Linked DNA regions of Arabidopsis thaliana. The protein of the gene in region 3 interacts with the protein of the main gene of each other region in a pairwise test. Each region holds a gene or a part of one and is shown on either strand. Other genes may lie near its edges.

The links.
Region 1: the proteins of TOPP7 (region 3) and AT3G53670 interact in a two-hybrid assay, tested with the Arabidopsis thaliana proteins (one large-scale study listed by BioGRID).
Region 2: the proteins of TOPP7 (region 3) and AT5G13310 interact in a two-hybrid assay, tested with the Arabidopsis thaliana proteins (one large-scale study listed by BioGRID).

Annotation. Positions count from the first base shown.
Region 1 is NC_003074.8:19,887,194-19,893,894, forward strand, and holds AT3G53670 (uncharacterized protein), read left to right. Parts: upstream 1-3,170; 5' UTR 3,171-3,626; exon of another isoform or gene 3,627-3,730; 5' UTR 3,731-3,811; intron 3,812-3,898; 5' UTR 3,899-3,910; coding exon 3,911-4,198; intron 4,199-4,697; coding exon 4,698-5,021; 3' UTR 5,022-5,250; downstream 5,251-6,701. Other genes in the region: AT3G53640 (Protein kinase superfamily protein), read right to left, coding at 1-1,742; AT3G53650 (Histone superfamily protein), read left to right, coding at 2,165-2,581; AT3G53680 (Acyl-CoA N-acyltransferase with RING/FYVE/PHD-type zinc finger domain-containing protein), read right to left, coding at 5,670-5,771, 5,912-6,052, 6,149-6,242, 6,337-6,393, 6,491-6,552, 6,689-6,701.
Region 2 is NC_003076.8:4,260,612-4,267,728, reverse strand, and holds AT5G13310 (uncharacterized protein), read right to left. Parts: upstream 4,240-7,117; 5' UTR 4,169-4,239; coding exon 3,812-4,168; intron 3,496-3,811; coding exon 2,740-3,495; 3' UTR 2,648-2,739; exon of another isoform or gene 2,086-2,647; 3' UTR 1,777-2,085; downstream 1-1,776. Other genes in the region: SFC (ARF GTPase-activating protein), read left to right, coding at 5,711-5,755, 6,420-6,496, 6,611-6,711, 6,994-7,064.
Region 3 is NC_003075.7:6,843,927-6,850,553, reverse strand, and holds TOPP7 (Calcineurin-like metallo-phosphoesterase superfamily protein), read right to left. Parts: upstream 3,443-6,627; 5' UTR 3,222-3,442; coding exon 3,044-3,221; intron 2,572-3,043; coding exon 2,012-2,571; intron 1,836-2,011; coding exon 1,623-1,835; intron 1,540-1,622; coding exon 1,522-1,539; 3' UTR 1,237-1,521; downstream 1-1,236. Other genes in the region: AGL52 (AGAMOUS-like 52), read right to left, coding at 1-976; AT4G11230 (Riboflavin synthase-like superfamily protein), read left to right, coding at 4,967-5,597, 5,689-5,854, 5,950-5,995, 6,428-6,547. UniProt on the Arabidopsis thaliana protein: Serine/threonine-protein phosphatase that possesses phosphatase activity toward para-nitrophenyl phosphate (pNPP) in vitro.

The DNA.
Region 1 (6,701 bases), on a different chromosome or scaffold from region 3:
ATTGTCTTTCCAGTAACACTATCCTCCTCTGTAGCATAGAAGCATAAGTCCTTATCAAAGTGTTGATCGATAAATGCTCCTTTGCGAAGCATCTTTTTAGGGAAGGGACCTTTCAGTTCCATATGCAGGCGTAACATATCATTGTTTGTGGAGCCAGGGAACATAATTTTCCCGCTATAAAGCTCATACAGACAACAACCAACTGACCAAATATCTAACGGATGGTCGTAGGGTAGTCCAAGAATGATTTCTGGAGCTCTGTAGAAACGACTAACAAGATATGGTGTAACTTGGTTTTCACCAGCAAACATTGCACTACCAAAATCACAAAGCTTTAACATGTTTCTTCCCTCATTCATTAGTATGTTATCAGGCTTTATATCGCAGTGAAGAACCCCACAGTTCTTGAGATGTTTAAGGGATATGAATAACTGCTCAGCATACACTCTAACATCATATAGTTTTAGACCAATGTTGACACCAATCTTCTTCACAACTTCACGGAGATTCAGATGAAGAGACTCAAACACCAAGCAAAGGTGGTTCCTATATTCAAAAGTTGAAAGAAGACGGACGCAGTGGTGCTTATTCTCTGGGTCAGAGCAAACTAGCTTCTTCAATATCCGAATCTCAGCCTGGCCAGCCTTATGCATTGTCTCATTTTTCCGAATAATTTTTATAGCCACTTCCTCAGGTTCACCTAGCTCAGGTTTTGTGTCTTTTGCACGCACCACGGTAGAGAATACACCTTTCCCATGAGTAGCCATGATTTCATATCTATCATCAAGTAGTTCACCAAGCTGATAACTGTAATAACCTTCTGCATCATCCCAATTATCATTGAGTCCACTCCTTACAAAAGGAACAAGTGCATTCCCTTTCCGAGTACCATCAGCTAGAGGAGACTCCCCAAAGATATCATCACTGAACATGTCACTCTTTGGGCTGCCTGCGGAAGCTAGTGTCATATCTGAGTCTGATATCACAAGCCGTGCAGGTGTTTCCCCAACTGCTGAAGATAGCTTGGCGACTTCACCATCTACGGCCTCAGTATCCAACCCAGCTTTAGCTTGAACATCTGCCACAGTAGAGGACTGCTCCAACTTTTTCTTATATTTCTCCAATATGGCTTGCGTAATCCTCTTGCTTTCCTCGATTCTTTTCATCTCTGCAGCTTCTTGTTCTTCAACTCCCCAAACAACATCTTCACCGTCATCATCATTATCAACTTCAGACCTTTCAACGTTGCCCTGAGTTTCACCGTTAGGTTTATGGCTTTTTAAAGAATCTAAGTCATCTTCTGCATCATGCCTAACTTCCCCATATCCATCACCACCACTTTTATAGATCTCCTGATCACTCTGGTCTTCTCTTCTTCCTCTATCCCTATCTTGATCCTTACGTCTCTCTCTTTCATTCTCCCTCCCAGTCTCTCTACTACTAGACCTAGCTTTATCTCTACTACTCCTACCTCTGTAGTTGTCTCTATTGCTTTCTCTATCAATGCTTCCCTTCTTCTTCAAATTCTCCCCTTCCTCCAAATCAAGTTCACCATCGTTACCAGGATTCCCCAAAAATGGATAAACATTCTTTTCATTGCCGTCCTCATCAAGATGATGACTGTGTCGATGCTTGTGATGATGGTGCTTGTGCCGCTTGGAAGATTTAACGACTTCGTCGGAAGGAGAATACGACCTACGGTGTTTGCGGTGGCTTGATTCTACTATCTTATCGCTCACCATCAGATCGTCGGAAAAGATAGACAATCGCAAAATTAGGGTTAGGGTTCGATTTTCTCCCGCGCTCTCTCTGTCTCCGTGAACAACAGACTTCCATTAAAAAAATTCACATTATATAAAAATTACAGTCGGCATCGGCAAATTAAAAGGAAATCAGAATCGTCTATTTAAAAAAACAAAGGGCCCAGGCCCATTAATAATAAATGATTAAGAGGATAGAGCCATCATGTCCGTTGATTATTCGAAACCTTTCCGATGGATGGATGACACGTCATCGATCCGCAAGAAACTCGGGTAACCAATGAAAGCCAGCAGAAGCCTCTATATAAACAAATGTCTCCTCAGTTTTTCCATCAGACGCATCTTTCAATTGTCAAGTGATTGTATTTAACCACAATTTCTTCTCATCTCTAAAGTCAGCATCAATGGCTCCGAAAGCGGCAGAGAAGAAACCGGCTGGGAAGAAGCCAGCAGAAAAAGCTCCGGCAGAGAAATTACCAAAGGCGGAGAAGAAGATCACCAAGGAAGGTGGAAGCGAAAAGAAGAAGAAGAAATCGAAGAAGAACATCGAGACGTACAAGATCTACATCTTCAAGGTTCTGAAACAAGTTCATCCTGATATCGGAATCTCCGGGAAAGCGATGGGGATCATGAACAGTTTCATCAACGACATCTTCGAGAAACTAGCTCAGGAATCATCGCGATTGGCTAGGTACAACAAGAAACCGACGATCACTTCTCGGGAAATTCAGACGGCGGTGAGACTTGTGTTGCCTGGAGAGCTCTCGAAACACGCTGTTTCTGAAGGCACTAAGGCGGTTACTAAATTCACTAGCTCGTAGGGTTTATATCTCTTAATTCTCTTTCCGCCTTTCGAATCGTTTAGGTGTTATCGCTTTCTTCTACATCTTTGGTGGTAAATCTTTGAATGAAAAGTTTCCTTTGTTAATGAATATCGTTTTCTTCATAAGAACAAAAAATTATTTGATCGGTGATCAATATCTTCTTCCGTTTCTGAGGGTTTTTTGGCCTTTTTTTCTATCCATAACTCTTTTGGTTCTTCACGATTCCACTAATTTGGTGGGGAGCAACACTAGTTATATTTTGCAGAGATTTGTGGGCACAATGGTAAATCATATACTTGAGTAATTATGTTAAAGAATGTTTCACTTTAACAAAATCATACTGATCCATTTGGTTTTATCTTAATCCCTTGATTTAATCACTTCATGGTGATTTCTAACTGTGTTTAGTGATGACGATGTTGATGATTGATGTTTAAGGTTTTCACTTTTCAGTGAACAAACGTTACAACTGGGCCTATTTATCATTCGTGACCCATTTTTTCCCTCGTGATCGGGCTCTAGCGGGAAAAATTCAGACACATAAAATAAGAGTATTAAACACGAGACACGTGTATATTTCTGATTCGCTCCGAGTAAGGTGGCCACGTCTTCGTCTCCCTAGTTGACCTTTCTTTGCATTTCTATCTTAATATAAAAAAAACTCGTTTGATCCATCCGTCTTCTCTCAGATTAGCTTTTTAACATCTTGGCTGGGTTTCGTGTGATTTCGTTTTGGATATGGTTGTTCGGATTCTTGTTACCATGATTCGGCTATAGTGTTTGTCGCCTCTGATTGTCTCAAGCATCGTTCTTTACTGATTTTTAGATAGCTCTGAGATCTGTCTCTGCGATTCGTCGGATTTGAATTCGTTTTTTTTTTTGGGTAGCTCTTGGATTTCTTCTTCTAGGGTTTCCAAGAGGATAGAGAAAATGCGGGTGTCCTCTGAGATACTCCTTCTTTCTTTGGTTCCGGCGTTGACTTTTTATCATTCTGGTTTAAGTTCTAATCGTTTGAAACCTCTTCAAAAGAGTGATTGGCGTGGTAATCTTAGTTAAACAACAATTTCTCTGTTTTTTTGTTTCTCCGATCTCTTCAGATCTTTTCAATTTTCTCTTCGGTTTGGTTTGTTTTCACGCATTTCCTAGCTCGGAGTAAGCTAATCGAAGAAAACAAGCTTGTTATTGATCGATCTTTCGGTTTTTGTTTTGACGTTTTGTGTGAACGAGGTAATTTGGCTATATGATTTTTTGGCTAAAGTGTTGTTTGAGCTAGAGTTCTCTTGTTAATGGTATTTGAATTTGTGTTTGTTGCAGTTACTTTTGGATATGAGCTCTGTCTGTGGTGGGTTGGATTTCAAAGATGCAGAGAGCAGCTCTGCTTCCAGTCCCATTATATGTTCTACTGGCGTAAAGCATATCTCTTGTGTTGGATCTGATGATGCTCAAGAGTCTGATGGTGATGATAGTGGTTATATACACCAAACTGTGATTGAAGAATCCAAAGACAAGGCGATCAGCGAACCCATCCCTGAGTCTTTACCTCTCAATTCTTTGGATGATGAAAGTGAAGATAAGAACCTTGCTACTGCATTGCAAGACATGTTCTCTGAGAGTGTAAGTGACCCTATCTTATTTCATAACACTGGTCGCTATCTTTATAGTTGTTGCGTTTTTTCTGTTCTATTGTCTTTTGTTCTTTCTCCTGTTTAGAATACGGTGTGGTCTGTGCTGATGTCAAGTTTCTATCTTTGATCACATATATAATTGAACTTAGATGTTTTGCGTAGCTCTAGGCTTGTGATCGTGGCTGTTTCAATCATATGTCGGTAGTTGCTTACAACATCTAGAACCAACCTTTTAGTCTTTAGTGGTAGATATACAAGAATGCGAAGGAGTAACATTACAAATCATCCCTGGCCAAAGCAAGAACATAGCTTAGGTTTTATGATCCATGAAATAATACAAATCCTTAGATTTTGGCTGTGTGATATATATATATATCAATGTTTGGTGCTTATAAATATCTTTTCTGTTTATGATATATGTAGTAGAGAAATGCTGTGTTTATGTTGGCTGCTTCTGATTTTTGTTGTTTTTTGTAATCCAACAACAGATGAGTGTGGTTACTCTGATTCCTGCCATTAAAGGTGGTCGAGAGAAGCATGGCAAGTCACTCGAGAAGCTCAGTGTGTCATGGGCTGAAGATGTGTATGATCCTCCTCCCTCCATTGTCTCTCACACAAGAAGCAAGAAACAGCAACCGCAGAAATCAAAGAGCAAAGACAACCTGAAGAAGAATGGAAAGAAAGGACAAAAGGGAAGCAGCAATTCCCGCAGCAGCAAAGACAAGAAGCAGATTTCTTCACGCAGCAGCAAATACAGTCGTGATAAGTTTGATTGGACAACACAAATGTCTGTTCTAGCTGCATCTTCTTGAATCTGTGTGGTATGACCAAGGCTCTTGCGTCTTCCTTGCTCTTGTCTCTCTCTCTCTCTCTTTCTTGTTTATAAATAAAAGATTTGAAGTGAAAACTTTTCTCGAGTTTCAGAACGACTATTGTTGTTGGTACGGAATTGATTTTGTTTTTACTCAATTTACCACTTTTATTGTGAAGTTTTTCCCTCTCTACTTGTTCCTTTATCTATAATATAGCTGATAATTTTGCAAAAAGTTGATACTGCTAATTTAGTAGAGCAAATTGGATCGTAGTTCGTAGATTTCAACCCTTAATTTGATGGAAAGTGCACAAGAAATAATATATCAGTTCAAGCAAAACCATACACAGTACAGAAAGGAACAACATTAGTATTATATGCCGACGACTTTACTATATTTGCTTCTTTTTACTTCTTTCCTTTACAAAATATTTCACTAGATCTGAAACCTCTCCTGTGTCAACTCTAAATTCTAATATCGTCTTTGTTAAGGGCTTGTACAAAAAATAACAGAGGTACACAAGAAATGATCCTTCTGCAAAAAGAAAACAAAGAGTGGGTTTAAAAGGGGCAAGAGAGCAAAAAAAGGAAAGATCCCAAATCCCAAAATCCGGATGAAGCTTCAAAAAATCTTCCATGAAAGATGATATCAGATGATTGAAGTTGATTCTGAAAAACTCGGTACTTTCTTCTCGAGCATCGATGTTCCCTTGAAGATTGTTAGTTGCACTTCTCTCTGGTACCTCTGTAACTGTAAACACAAACACCATTGTTAATCCTCTTTTAACCATTTTTGTAACCAGACTGCGCAACCATTAAAGATTTGATCAAGTCAAAAGATTAATCATGAAAGCATTTGCCAGGAAATGTCCCAGGCCAAACTTTACGTACTCGATGTTCAGTCATCTTTGTGAATCCAAATTTATTTGTCCAGATAGACTCAGCTTCTTCAGCTGCTGGGAGAAGCAAGTTCTCAACATTCAGAGAGGAAAGAAGATTCTCAACGCAAGCAAACAGCCCTTGAAAGTAGCCCTATAGAACCATTAAACAAATTGGTTTTGTCACAAGTTATAAAACAAACAAGCGAATCCGACACAGCAAAGAAACATGGGATGTACAAAAGCTTACCCTTCCCTGATACTCTCGGCTTGTAGCTACAATAGGAAGTTCTGCAACTTTCTGACCAAATATCCTAAGCAGCGCGGCAGAAACAACTAGGGAACTAAAAACGCAGCAAAAAACATTTAGAAAGATTGAGAGATGGTAAAACAACAATACAGAGAGAAAGATAAATGCATCAAGAACACCAGACATACTTCACCATCAGGACCAAGCAGTACATTCCTCCAAACTCCTGGCCAGATATGTTTCTCCTGCAAACATGTTGGAAGAATTACCAGGATGATCAATTACTATTAACATTTGAATGAAAAAGGAACTTGAATCTGAGTTTATCATAGTACAGCTTACCCATAGACCATGACAGGAATGAGATCACGACCAGACTTTGCCACAATGGGATCAAAACACTCCTGAAAAGTAAACTCATTTGCTATACATGTGTTTATAAAATAAATTCGCTGTACAATGTACATGTGTGTAAGAAATAAATTTACAAGCCAGATAAAACTCAAAATGATGTGAGCACATTTATAAATTGAGGCATACCCTGAAAATAGTA
Region 2 (7,117 bases), on a different chromosome or scaffold from region 3:
TACAATGGGAGTCAACAAAAACTATTTATTTAGTTGAGTGAGTCGTGTGATGAAAGTGATGGAGACTAGAAATTACAAACGAAGTTTCAATATTAGAAAAGAACATGAAATTGAACGCAAGAGACTTTAGACTCACCTGCAACAGAGTCTCGTATCTTTTCTCCAGATTGGTACACTCAATTTAATTACAAAGGATTTGGAAATTTTTGAAATTGCATTAAACAAAAACAAAACCAAAAATAAAGATCAATAATACAACAGCAAAGACAATAGTACGATCCAATGGTATCACTGATATATTATATATGGTTCTCGCTTAAGCTCCAATCGTAGTCTAGTCTTATCCTGCCCAACGGTACTATATGTTTTTTTACTTCTACCAAACCAAACCAAACCAAACATTGTCATTCGTCTTCAATTGATACAAATGCCCTAAAAGGAAAAACCAAAACTATTTTCTTGTTAATCTCTTCCGTTCTTTATCTTCTTTCTCCATAAACTGTTAAATATTTAATTTTATGATAATCTTTCCAGCAACCCTACTACATATATTTTTTTTTTTTTATTTATTTATTTTGCAACAAAACAAATTCATCCATTGATTTTTTTTAAAAAAAATCGCCTAGAAAAACTAGTACAAACTAGAAAAAAATAATTCAAAGAAAAAAAAAAAATCAAATTTTTAAAAGTTTGAATTTTCTTACTTAAATACCAAAGGATGACCATTCATCTAGAACGCCAATTAGCTTAATTAAATCTTTACAATTATGTCTCAAAAATCACACTAGCTAAAGAGGACAAAATATGACATTTTATTGCCCAAAAGAGATATTCGAACTATGTGTGTAGGGTGACATTTATCTGTGGTAGCTCTTTAACCCGAGGAGGGCAATATTCTAGCGAGAAAGGACAAGCCATCCATCGCCTCTTAATGAATCTGATACGTCCCACGAGCTATCGATTTGACAGACAATATAGTATGAATCGTGTCGATTTAAGTAGCGTCCATGCAAGCCCGAGCAATTGCTACGCGGAACGCATCCGCTTCTCGGGCCGTATAAGACATTACATCTACTGAATAAATGGCTTTATAATATTTTCGAACATTTTCGCGTTTTGACTTTCTAAATAAACCATAAATCAAAGGGGATCTTATTATTTAATGTACTTATTTTTCTTTTGAAAATGATTTGTTTTGTAAACATCGATCTTTTATGTAAGATAATCATAAAATATTCATTTATAATTAGGTAATTATAATATTTTGGTTTAATTATAAAAGTACTTTATTTTTTTTTTGGGGGGTAAAAATCCTTTATTTGTAATGAAAGTTAATATTTGAAATATTTTTCACAAAAATATTTTGATTAATCCTCTTAAGCAAATTTTGTAATCGTAATAATATTTATGGATTGCTTCTAGTTGCCCTGAAATTTCTTAACGGATTAAAGACAACCAAAACGGTTTGGGTTTGACATAAAATTAAAAACTTATAATTTAATGGAGCTTATGAAGTGTGGGCCTGGAGGGATATTTGCCCAGAAATTCGCTGGAAAAAGAAAACGATGTTCCAGGTAAACCTTGAGAGTTAAAAGTCATTTCTTAATAAGCTACAACGTCAAACACGAGTTTTGATCAAATAAACTTCCAAGTAGTCTCCATCTTCTGACTTTGATATGCACACCAAGTGGGGTTTGGTGTCTTCGTCTACTAGTATTTTGGTGTGTCCTTCCAAAAACACACGTATCTACCATAAATGTCAAATTAGCGAAATGAAAAAACAACATTTTATAAATGCATCCGTACGCAGAAACAAGAGGCCATAGTTAAGAGAGCTATCCATGGAATGGATCTTTAAGCAAGTTACACAAAATGATGAATGTGGTATATGAGTTATGCACACATACAGTATTAAGGAAAAAAGACAGCTTGTCAAAGCCGTTTAAGGCTCAACAACAGCAGTATTGTGTCCGTCCCTCCCATTTTTTTTCTCTGTTTTCGTTCATACATACATATATGCATCTCATCTAAAACAAACCAGAAATTTTCACACCAGTCTTGTCTTCGGATTAGAACTTTCTCCTCCTGTCAGGAAAGACATGTGTAATGTTTAAAAAACACTGCAACAACGAGTGGTCTTTTGATGAAACCATAAGCTGAAAACCCGTAAAAACAGATTCACGAACTGAAGGAACAACCCTAAGCAATTGCTCAATTAACGACAGCTTTGCTTTAAGCAAAAATCTTTAACGCAAACAATTGGAATCCATGATTTGATTAATCTGCAGTCATACTAAACTTGATGAATTGAATCAAAAAGAAAATAAGAAGAGGTGTTTCCTTCTTTCTCAGATCAACAGACTTTCACCTGCTCATAATTATAAATTGCTTGCTCAAAACCATGTCTTTCTTTAACCCTGGAATCTTCCCAGAAACGATTCACTAGTGTTGAATCAAAACTTGTGGCAACATCACTGGAATCTATCAAGATAGCTTCCAGGAAGTTGAGGTAGCTTTAGATTCTCTTCTGCGTGTACTATCAACCAGTCTCAAAGGTAAACAGTTTCTTACTATGTTACCATACATTCGCTGTAATACAGTCTCTAAATTGGGTAAAAAAGAAGTCTAGGAATTAAAAATATCTTACATGTGCGGCTAAAAGATGCTACATGATTGTATCTCATGGACCCCAACTTCATCTCTGTGTAGCGTTTTCCAACCAAACTGGTATGTGAAAGATCAGACATCTGTTTCATCTAAACTAAGCTTGGCACGATATTGACGACCTTTGCTTTGGAAACTGGTGCAGCTCTCTGATTCTCGTATTTCAGTATCCCCATCTTCTGTTGCACTTGGTCTCTCTTCTTCTGCCAACTCTCCAGCTACGATAGGCTTCGTCTCATTACAGTTACTACTGTCTTCACTTACGTCCTTGGTCTTATTCTGCGGAATAAAGGAGACTTTTGGAAATGATTCTGACTCTGGATTTTTCAATCCTTCAACAGCATTGGGAGTGTCCATGTACTCTCCTGTTGGGGACTCCACATCCAATTCACAAGATGGATCAAAGCTGTAACGGGTGTAACTCGAAGGATTTAGCAAGTAATCCGGTACCCGAGCACCACTTTTTCCCTGATGAGATACGATTTTTGACGAGGCAGAAGCTGAACAAGTATCTTCAGGCTTCTTCAATGTTTCTTCAGGCACAGAATCAAACCTGACTCGCTTACTTGTCCTTGCTTCTGAATCTGAACTATTCTCCTTCCTTTTGAGTATAGGTTTTCGCGGCATAGCTTCGGATGATTCTTCTGCGTGTGGCTCTTTGCTTTCCGAAGGTTGACTTGCAGAAGTATTAAACTTGTTAGCCTCAATTTCATCTTCCTTCAGCCTAATTCTTGCAGCAACATAGTTAGCACGAGGATCCCGAATCCGCCCACAGCCTTCACCGTCATTCTCTTCCCCTAGTGCAACTTTATCATACTCATCTTCCTCTGCCTGTGTTAAGAAGCATAATTCATGGAAACAACACTCAGCATCAAAGAAAGTGACATCCTATTCATAATACGGTATGTGCTACATATAGTTATAGCAAGAAAAACTCAAATTCAAGAATCTTAAAGCTGGTTACATAGGTTGATGATTCACGTACAAAAACTCTATAAGTCACACAAACCAATATGATACTACATTAAAAATTCAATGCTCTTCTCATATGAATCTACCAAATCCAAGAGAAAAGACCAACACTGTTCCCTAATTTCAATTAGCTAAGCAATGAGAAACAATCGTTAAGAGACCAAAATTGATTTACCTCGTCATCGAGAGTGCGATCAAGGCCCATGGAGGCTCTGATACTCCACACACCATCAAAATCCTCGCCGCAATCAATATCTTTGAGATCATCCTCGGAAGGCTTCTGCTGTTTTAAGAGCTCGTCAAAGGATGAAGCACAAGGAATCTCGTCTCTATCGTACGAATCTCGCTTCCACTCCCGCTTCTCTACCTCTGTGTCGGAGAGAGTCCACACCGACCCCGATTGCTGCCGCGACGCCGGAGCAGAAGACGACGTGGAAAACTTGGAAGACGAAGGACGAGAGAAGGGTAGAGATCCGAAGATCTTCGCAACGCGAGACTGGAAATCTTCGTCGGCTGATCCAGACGATGCCATTGTGAAGCTATTAGAAATTGAAACACACACAAATCGATTGCTGTGAATAAACGAAGAACGAACAAAATAATAGACCGCCTTTCGTGTGATCCTATAACAAAACAAATTTTAAATGGGCATTTTATAATGGGCCTGGCTTAATGGAATTTCCTACTTCTTGGCCCAATATCGGCCTACTAGTCACTGTTACCTCTATACAGTTTTTAATTTTTTTTTGGTTGTGTGCTAAAGTGGATTTTAGTATCCGTAGGCCGTTTGAGGTCAATAAGGAAATGAAAGATGCGACAGTCTAAAAAGGAAAAGAGAGATCTAAGTTACATTAGATTGATAGCCATATGTCGGAAATCATTTGAGAGAGAAAACATACGATAAATGTTGTGAGAAAGATGAAAGAAAATTGATGTGAGAAAATCTGATTAGAAGACCATATTAAATGTTGGTTAATAGTAATACATAATGTTCATTATTATGTTTTTAATTGCAGATGTCTTAGTTTTACCAGTTGAACAAAGATCTTAACCTAGATTTAAGACGATTATCGTTATGATTAAACAATATTGAACTAGCTGGACAAGACTCAAGAGATCATACATTTCATTAAACAATAAGGATTTTGAAACCAAGAAAATGTATTTTAATAATCATATGCGACTGTAAAGTCTGCAAAAGAAAGTAAGATCATCGTGTCCATTTTTTCCAAATTTCTCCCACTTTTCTTTTTGCTTTAACAATTTTTTTCCAAAAGAAAGTAATCATAAGTGTTCAATTTTTTATATTTAAAGATATTTTCATATAAAATAAAATAAACATGTCTTAAAAGGAATCATTTATACCCCACTGGCCTCTCTGTCTCTCCGGAACAAAAGATAATGGAGAAGCAACCAGATAACGGGTCCCACTCTCCCCTCTCTATTAATACTCTCGAGAGAATCGCGTTTACTACACGCGCCTCCTAATTTCCAGCCTCTTTAATACTACACGGGCTTTAAAGGCGCGTGGATATAGTGGATTTTAGCCAGAGTCCTTGTTTTCTCAGATGACCACTGTTACAGAAAAAGCACAGTCAGTCCTCTCTTTAAAAAATTTACACTTGAAACGACGTCGTATCTTACCAACCTTCACGATCTCCGGCGGTAACTAAAACGGCATAGTTTCGCCGTCTTTTGTGGTTAAAATTTTCACAAAGACGGTGAAGTTTTTTTTCTTCCTTTCTTTGATTTGTCTGTCTCTTCTCTTCTCCCGAGACACTTCATCTAAAAAACACACCCCCACTGTTTTCTTGTTTTGTTCTCTCTCGATTTCGCGAGAAAAAAACACCAGCTCAAAATTACGCTTGGCTCGAGACTTTGAAGATCATCGGTTTCTGTTTCTGTTGGATATTTCGGGGAAGCTTTGGGAGGAGAGGATCTCACGTTTTTGTTCGTTTATGGCGTCTGTGTGAGACATAGTGGTGGTTCTAGCTTTTAGGTTTTTGGTGTGTGTGTTCGTGTTATGTTAATTGCTGTTTGTGTCGAAGAAGAGGAAGTAATAAATTAGCTCAAAATGCATTTCACTAAGCTTGATGACTCTCCCATGTTCCGCAAACAGGTTTGTTTCTACTACATATCTTTGGTTCCTGTCTATGTGTGCTTGTCTTGATGTGTCCAGTCTTTTAGTGTCGTAGGTTAAAATTGGGTCATATTAGGCGAGATTTGTTCTTCAAAAGTTGTCAACAGATACTAATTTTGGAGCCATTAGGATGTGTTGTGTCTGGAATTTTGAATGTCCACCGACATTTATATTCCAAAATGTGAGTGGAACTTCACTGGAAGGTTCGAATTAATGTGTCACTAAGAAATTGGTTTATCTGGACGGCCTATTCGCGCTTTAACTTGTTGCTCCATGAAATGTGAAATGACTTATGATCCAGTGCACTTGTTTGGGTCTCTGATTCGTGTGTTTAGGATACATTTGTGTCCACTTAGCTACTACTTTCATGCTCACTGGTTTAGTAGGACTTCTGCTATCTAACTCAACTTAAATGCTAAGGAAGTTCCTAGTGTAGCTCAAATTCTGTCCAACAACTGCTCTGTTTGCCTGAAGTTGATGATTCTTTTGCCCCTATATAGAGTGCCTGAATCACTCAATCTTTGGGGTTATCCATAGTTGCAGTTTCTTCCATAATTGGATTGTGTCTTTACTGTTTTCTTTGCGTTTATGTATTTTTCCTTCCGCAGCTGCGTTCTTACATTGATATCTTTTTCTTAAATAGTTACAAAGCATGGAGGAGAGCGCAGAAATATTGCGGGAAAGAAGTCTCAAGTTTTACAAAGGATGCCGGAAATACACGTATGCTAGTTCAAATTTTCACAGCTAATTAGGATTGTAGCTCTACATTTAGAGTTTTCTTCTGGCTGAAACATGTATCTTTTAACAGCGATAGATTATTCTTTCTTTTTACAGTGAAGGACTAGGCGAGGCATACGATGGGGACATTGCTTTCGCAAGTGCACTTGAAACATTTGGTGGAGGCCATAATGATCCAATAAGTGTGGCTTTTGGAGGTATGACCGATTATATGGAAACTCGCAGTAGCATATTGTCTGTTTATTCCCATAATCTTTGCAGTTTTCATCTGAGATTCTTTGGCACTTTCCATTTTAGAATTCATAATTTCGTTTTTAAGCACTAAATACTGATAGTGGCCTTAAATTATGAGGGAAGTTGTTGTTCCCGCTCTTTCTCTTCGCTTTCTCTTTGCTAGGGTTGTTAGATTCACTGGTTTTGGTGGAAATGTTAACAATTTGCTGTTAAAAGTGCTGACAAACTCTAACTTGCTGTGCCAGGACCGGTAATGACGAAATTTACAATTGCGTTGAGGGAAATTGGGACTTATAAGGAAGTTCTTCGGTCACAGGTATGCTAGTTTGCTATTTTGACACTCTCTGTTTCTCCCTATTCCCAGCCTTC
Region 3 (6,627 bases):
TTGAGTTGTCAGAAAAACAATAGCTGTTAGGAATGTTGTGGAGAGGTGGCAGAGAAGATGTCTGTAGCAAACTGCTCCCATCATAGCTCGAAAACATATCTTGAGAGAAGCTAGTGTTACCATAAGGGAATTCATGTGGAACAGTGTTTGAGAGATTAGGATGTTGTAAACCGTTGTTGTTATTGATGATTTCACTCATCATACACAAGTTCTGATCAAAACCATGAAGCTGATCCTGTTGCTGCATCAAGTGATTATTCAACCCGTAGTTATTCGCCGAAAGTAACGGTGAGTAGTCTTGTGTGTTTGACACGCCAGGATGTTGAAAGTTGTTGTTGTTGGTGATGTTGTCCAAACACATGTTCTGACCAAAACCATGCTGCATCTGGTAATTGATGAGTTGATTGGATTGTGAAGCAGACAGTGGGAGTTGTGAGAGAGTAGCATCTCCATGGTTGTACATATACAGCGAGAACTTGCTAGGATCCAAGTGTTGTGTCTGGTTCAGATACGATGGTGTTAAACTCTGATGCACCAAGTTTGTGTTCTGTTTTTTCTGCGACTCAACAATACGAAGCCTTTTTTGGAGAGTAGAAAGTGTTCGTTCTAAGGACTGAATCAATTGAGAGAGTTGTTGAGGAGAGTAATGATCAAAGTTTGGATACCAATTAGGGTTCTTCACATAATTCGTCTTCCCCTTATACTTGTCTTTGTCCTTCACCTTCTCTTTCTCGAGGAACTCATGAAGATTGAGGCACTTCTTGCGTTTTCTGTCCTCTTTATACCTCAAAGCCATATTTTTCACTGTCTCTCTATCCTTAGGCCATGTTCTCAGATCACCGTCTGGTCCGTAATAGATGACGCAAACGTCAATAGCACAGAGAATCGAAAGCTCTTCTGCTTTCTTAAAGATTGTTTTAAGTCTGTTTGTTAAACTTGTTGGATTACATGACGAAGAAGAAGAAGCTTGCTTCATCGTGATTTTGCCTTGATTCGCCAAGCAAGAAACTAGGGTTTTTTTTTTCTCCGACAGAGAGATAACACACAAAGAAGAAGCAGAATTGTGGAATTGATGGTGAAAGATTGTGAAACTTCACTCAATATGTTTATATAGATTGCCTTGGTGCCTACGGGAACAAGCATACGCGTCGGCGACGCGTGAAGAAGATAAAAGCAGTATCTATCCTCAAATCTAGGTTACCTCTTCTCTTATTATTTAGCTTATAGTATATATTACGTCAAATAAGATAATTGTTTTTCAAGTTTCATTTTATTATTTTTATAAATTTTACGTTTATGTTTTTAGAATATGTTTCTAAAAGGTTAGTTGTATAAAACCCAACTTTCTTCAGTTGAAAATGCTGTGAACATCTTCCACAATTTTTACAAAAAAAATCTAAACAAAACATAATGTTGCCTCAACCATAAGAAAACAGATAACAATCTAACAAAACAAACTGTTTGCCTTACAAAATTCGAACCCGTCGGTTTCACTCGTTTCTTGAACCCATCGACGACGAGTTAACGACCTTTTCCACCCTGCAAGAATGTTAACATATCAAACCTGATATCTAACATCTACCTACATTGCATCTATATACAGGGGGATAGTATTTTCACACCTTATGAGGTGGGGTTCCTGGTCTAGGAACATTGTTGTTGAATCCAAATCTTCCTTTCTTCTCAGATGCCTTAAGGATTTGGAATGAACATGTTAAGCTATCATCAACACTCATCAATGCACCAGCATTGTCAAACTCGCCACAGTAATTGGGTGCAGAGAATATTGTCACTAGTTGTCTCTTTGCAAAGAACTCGTATCCATCTTCTACAACCTGCAGGAACAGTATAGTTAAGTAAAACTTGGCTTGGTGAAAAAACTACAGATCCTTGCATTAACAACTGAGTTATGATTTCTTAACCCTCTGAATTCAGAGAACAGTCACAGAGAAGAACAAACCAATCCAGAGAAATCAAAAGAGAGAACTCAAGGAATAAATTTTAGCTTTACCTGATGAGCTCGGCATATAAGATCAAGGTCATGAGTTTGAAGGAACTCAGCTACTTTGTCAGCCCCAAATGTATAAGAGACACCTCTGTCATTCTCCCCCCAGCCTTGAATCTCTCTGTCAGGATCAGCCCACAACAAATCACAAAGAATGCCCTGATCAGGAACGTCAATAGGACGAGGAATTCTCCTGATGTCATCTAAGCTCTTAATATCAGGCGATAGTCCACCATGCATGCAGAGGATCTTATCATCAATGAGAGCAGAAACAGGCAGACAGTTGAAGCACTCGGTGAATGTTTTCCATAAGCGAACATTATATCTTCTTTTGCATTCATCGTAGAATCCATATACACGGTTGATTGAAGCACATTCGTGATTGCCTCTGAGAAGAAAGAAGTTGAACTTGTATTTGACCTTATAGGCAAGAAGAAGGCATATCGTCTCTATGCTCTGCTTACCACGATCAACATAATCCCCAAGAAACAAGTAGTTCGCAGCTGGTGGATAACCACCATACTCAAACAACCGCAAGAGGTCTGGAAACTGACCATGAACATCTCCTGCTCATCAACATATAAACTTAAAACCATCAACAAAATTACAAATCATACAGTTATGATAGCAACAGAAGGGTTTAATATCTATCATACACCAAATTCAGCAACTAAACAAAACTATTAGCTATCAAATGAAGTAATAAGTCAAGCGAGATACCAACAACTGCTTATGCAACAGAGCTAAGGGACCATGGTTCCTCAAAGACACAAAAGTAAGAGGTCACTACTCACAATTCCGCAAGAAACACTAACTTAAAGTGGCAGAGCATTTAACTAATTCACAACATACACATCTTCAACCATTTCAATGTACACTTATATCCCAAAAATCTAAGCTTTAAGCTTCCCAAACAACAAACTTACAAAGCTAAACCCTTACATCAAAAAATGTAAAATTGATCAAAAACCCACAACACAAAAACGAATTCAAGATAAAGTAAACAGAGAGAAACATTTCTCTATTCAGTAACATTACCGCAAATCTTGATAGGAGCCTCGAGCTCGAGGAGATTAGGCTGACTGAGAAAAACCTCTTTTGAAGCTAAACATAGCTGACGTATCTCCGTCTCAGTAATCTGTGCTTGCTTCACCGTCCTTCCATTATTCGTCGCCAAAAGCCGTCGTATTATATCGTCAAGTAAAGTCTCATCCATCGTAGCAACAACCCTAATTTCTCTCTAACGCACAGAAATTAGATACCGGAAACTTCTCGTCTAACGAATCCAGAGAGATCCGACGATTGTTTTAACCGCCGACGTCTCTGGGTTCGTATCGTTGACGGAGAAGAAGATACAGAGAGCGTTAAGTAGAGAGAGGGAGAGAGACCCAAATTTCGTAAACCCTAGAAACTTTTATAATAAACGCGGTAATAATTATTTTTCATCATCCAAAACTCGAAGCCAAAGAAAGGAGCGGAGTGGTCACGTGACAAGTTCTCAGACGCACGTGCGATTGTTGTTGATTAGTCTGCATCCAGTTATGTGGTTTCATTTGGTTCAATTTAGGTTAGGATCGGTTTTGGACAAAAACTTATAATAAAAATAAAGATAACTAACTAATTTTAATTCATATTATAGTTTTAATATACTTAAATTTAAATTATTATATTTTGTGAATTTAGTTAAATGGGTTGGTTCCAAAAACTTTATATACAAGGCAAATTACTATACCGGTTAGGTTATAAAATTAATTTGGGTGGATCTCGATTCGATAATGTTGACCCTCCTTAATGTATGTGTTGAATGTATTATGAGAATTATGTTATTTTGGTTTAAATTGCTCACCAAAATACAATCTTAAATGTATTTGTGTCATATAAGTTTTTTTCTCTCTTAATTCTCTCAAATCTTTTAGAGATAAAAAACTTTGAATCTTGTTACTATCTTTTGCTAATCCGATTAACATCGGGCTTTAGATTTCGTTTTATGTTTTAGCTTTTCGTCTTCGTTCGTATCTATCTCCGACTTATTGTCGGTTTATCTTCCAAACTTTGTTTCGGTTATTAGTTTTAATCACATGTTTTTATTTTTGGCGGAAAAATCACGGGTTTATGTTTTTTAAAAAAAAATTTACGAGTTTACTTTTTCTCAATTTTATCGCTTATATATTTAAGAAATTTGGAAAAATAATGATTTATTAAATTGGTTTAGATGTGTTGGTTAAACTTAAATTGACATTGGTTTAGAGATTTTAATTAGTTTAATTCAATTTTACAAAACTTGATGTGTTAATTGGGTAAACCATTGAAACCATTAACCATTACAACCCAACTCATTTTACTCATCAAACCAATTAACTCATCAACTCATTTGACCCATTAACTCATTTGAGTCAAAATTTTCAACTCATTAGGGTTCATGGATTGAGTTGAGTTGAGACATTTTGATACCTCTAGTTTTAAACACTAAACAAAACAAATACAATTCAAATTCAAATTATTTAGTTGTGATATAGATTTTAACCAAATGAATTGTATTTTATTGTTTTTATATTTTAAAGAATAAAAATCAAATATAATAATTATACATTAATTAATATATAAAAATTCAAAACATTAAATCATATATATTTTTAATATGCTAAACAAATTAAATTTTTTTAAAAAAATATATAATTTCACAACAACAGCGAGTTAAGTATAATTAAAGTGTACCTAAAACATGCACAAAAATATAGTATAATTTTTTGTGTCGTAACTCGTAAATATAGTATAATTTAAAACCGTATTTTTAGAAACCAAACTTATTTTTATATTTTCGTTCTGCTTTGGTAATTTCCTCTGGTCGTTCCTTTGATTAGTACAAAAGACAAATTTTATAATAAACACAAAATTCAAAAACTGTATTTATTCAGTCTTCTCCCTCCTTGGCTTCTCTCCTCTCCTCCCAACAAATTCAAAATGTCAATGTCATTTTCCGGCGGGACTCACAACGATCGTTGGGGCTCCGATTTAGCTTCCGCCGGAGAATTCACCCAAAGCTTTCCATCCTTACCAGCAACATACTCACCCTCACCCTCCTCCTCCTCCTCCTCCGGCGAAGAGCTCCTAGAAGTAACAATCGAATTCCCAAGCGGCGTAATAATAAACATCGACTCCGTTACCGGAACCGGCACCGATATTTCAGGTACCGATCTAGAGATCACCTCTTGCTCGGATTCCGGTTCAGGATCAAGGTCGCTTAGCTTAGGATGGAGCGCGTCGTCGGAGAGACTGACGGCGGGGACGAACTCAAAGCAGCAGATCCAGAAGATCTCACGGCGTGGTTACGGTTATTCGTCTCGGTCTGCACCGGAACCGGTGGTTCCACACAGAGGCGAAATTACCGATTCGGTTAATCTCCCTCGAGCTTTATCTCAGCGACCAACTAGACCTAATCGGGATGGATCGGGTACAGAGAGAGCGATTCATGGTTTGAAATTCATAAGCAGCAAAGAAAATGGAATCGTTGATTGGAACGATGTTCAAAACAATTTCGCTCATCTTTCTAAAGATGGTTATCTTTTCAAAAGTGATTTTGCTCATTGCATAGGTTCGACATAATGATTTTCACAGTTTTGAAATTGAGTTTGACTCTGGAGAATCGATAGAGATTGTAAATTTTGTTGTTCTGTGTTTGAAAGGTTTGGAGAATGAAAATTCCAAAGAGTTTGCAGACGAGTTGTTCGACGCATTGTGTAGGAGAAGAAGAATAATGGTTGATAAGATCAATCTTCAAGAATTATACGAGTTTTGGTACCAAATTACAGACGAAAGCTTCGATTCTCGTCTTCAAATCTTCTTCAACATGTATTGTTATCAATTATCATCAAATCTTGTTAAACATATTGATCAACATGTAGCTAAAGTTCTTGATTTGTTTTTTCACTTTTTGAAACTTGCAGGGTTAAAAATGGAGATGGTAGAATCACAGAGAATGAAGTAAAAGAGGTTTTTTTTTTTTTTTTTACTTTTGTTCGATCTTCTTTGTTTAGTATTCTAATCAGCATTGACTAATGAATCTTACATGAGTCCCATTATCTTTATATGTTTTAGTATTGTATTATCCCTCTTGCTTAATTTTATAGAGCTACATGTTTTTTTTTTTTGGTTGGTTATGTTGGTCTTGATATTATTCTTTCTTATGTCTACCTTGTAACCAATGCAAGACTAGGAGATTTAAGTTGCAATTGTTTTTTCTGCATATAATTTGATTGACCTTGTAGCAGCTTTCTTAATTTAAGGAAGTGATTCTAACTACCAATGAAAAGATATTGTTTTTCTATATAACCACTAAGTTTAACGTTGAATCTTTCAAATAGAAGCTTCTCAATGGTATTAACTACTTTTTGTATGGTTTTCTATGATTTTGACAACCTATAGATTATTATACTAAGTGCATCGGCAAATAATCTATCGAGGTTGCGAGAACGAGCAGAGGAATATGCCGCACTGATCATGGAAGAACTTGCACCAGATGGACTCTATTCTCAGTACATAGAGGTGGTTCCATCACTTTTAACTCCCAATCTTGTTAAATGTCCTAACAGAAAACATGTTTAAATACCGTAAAACTTTTGATA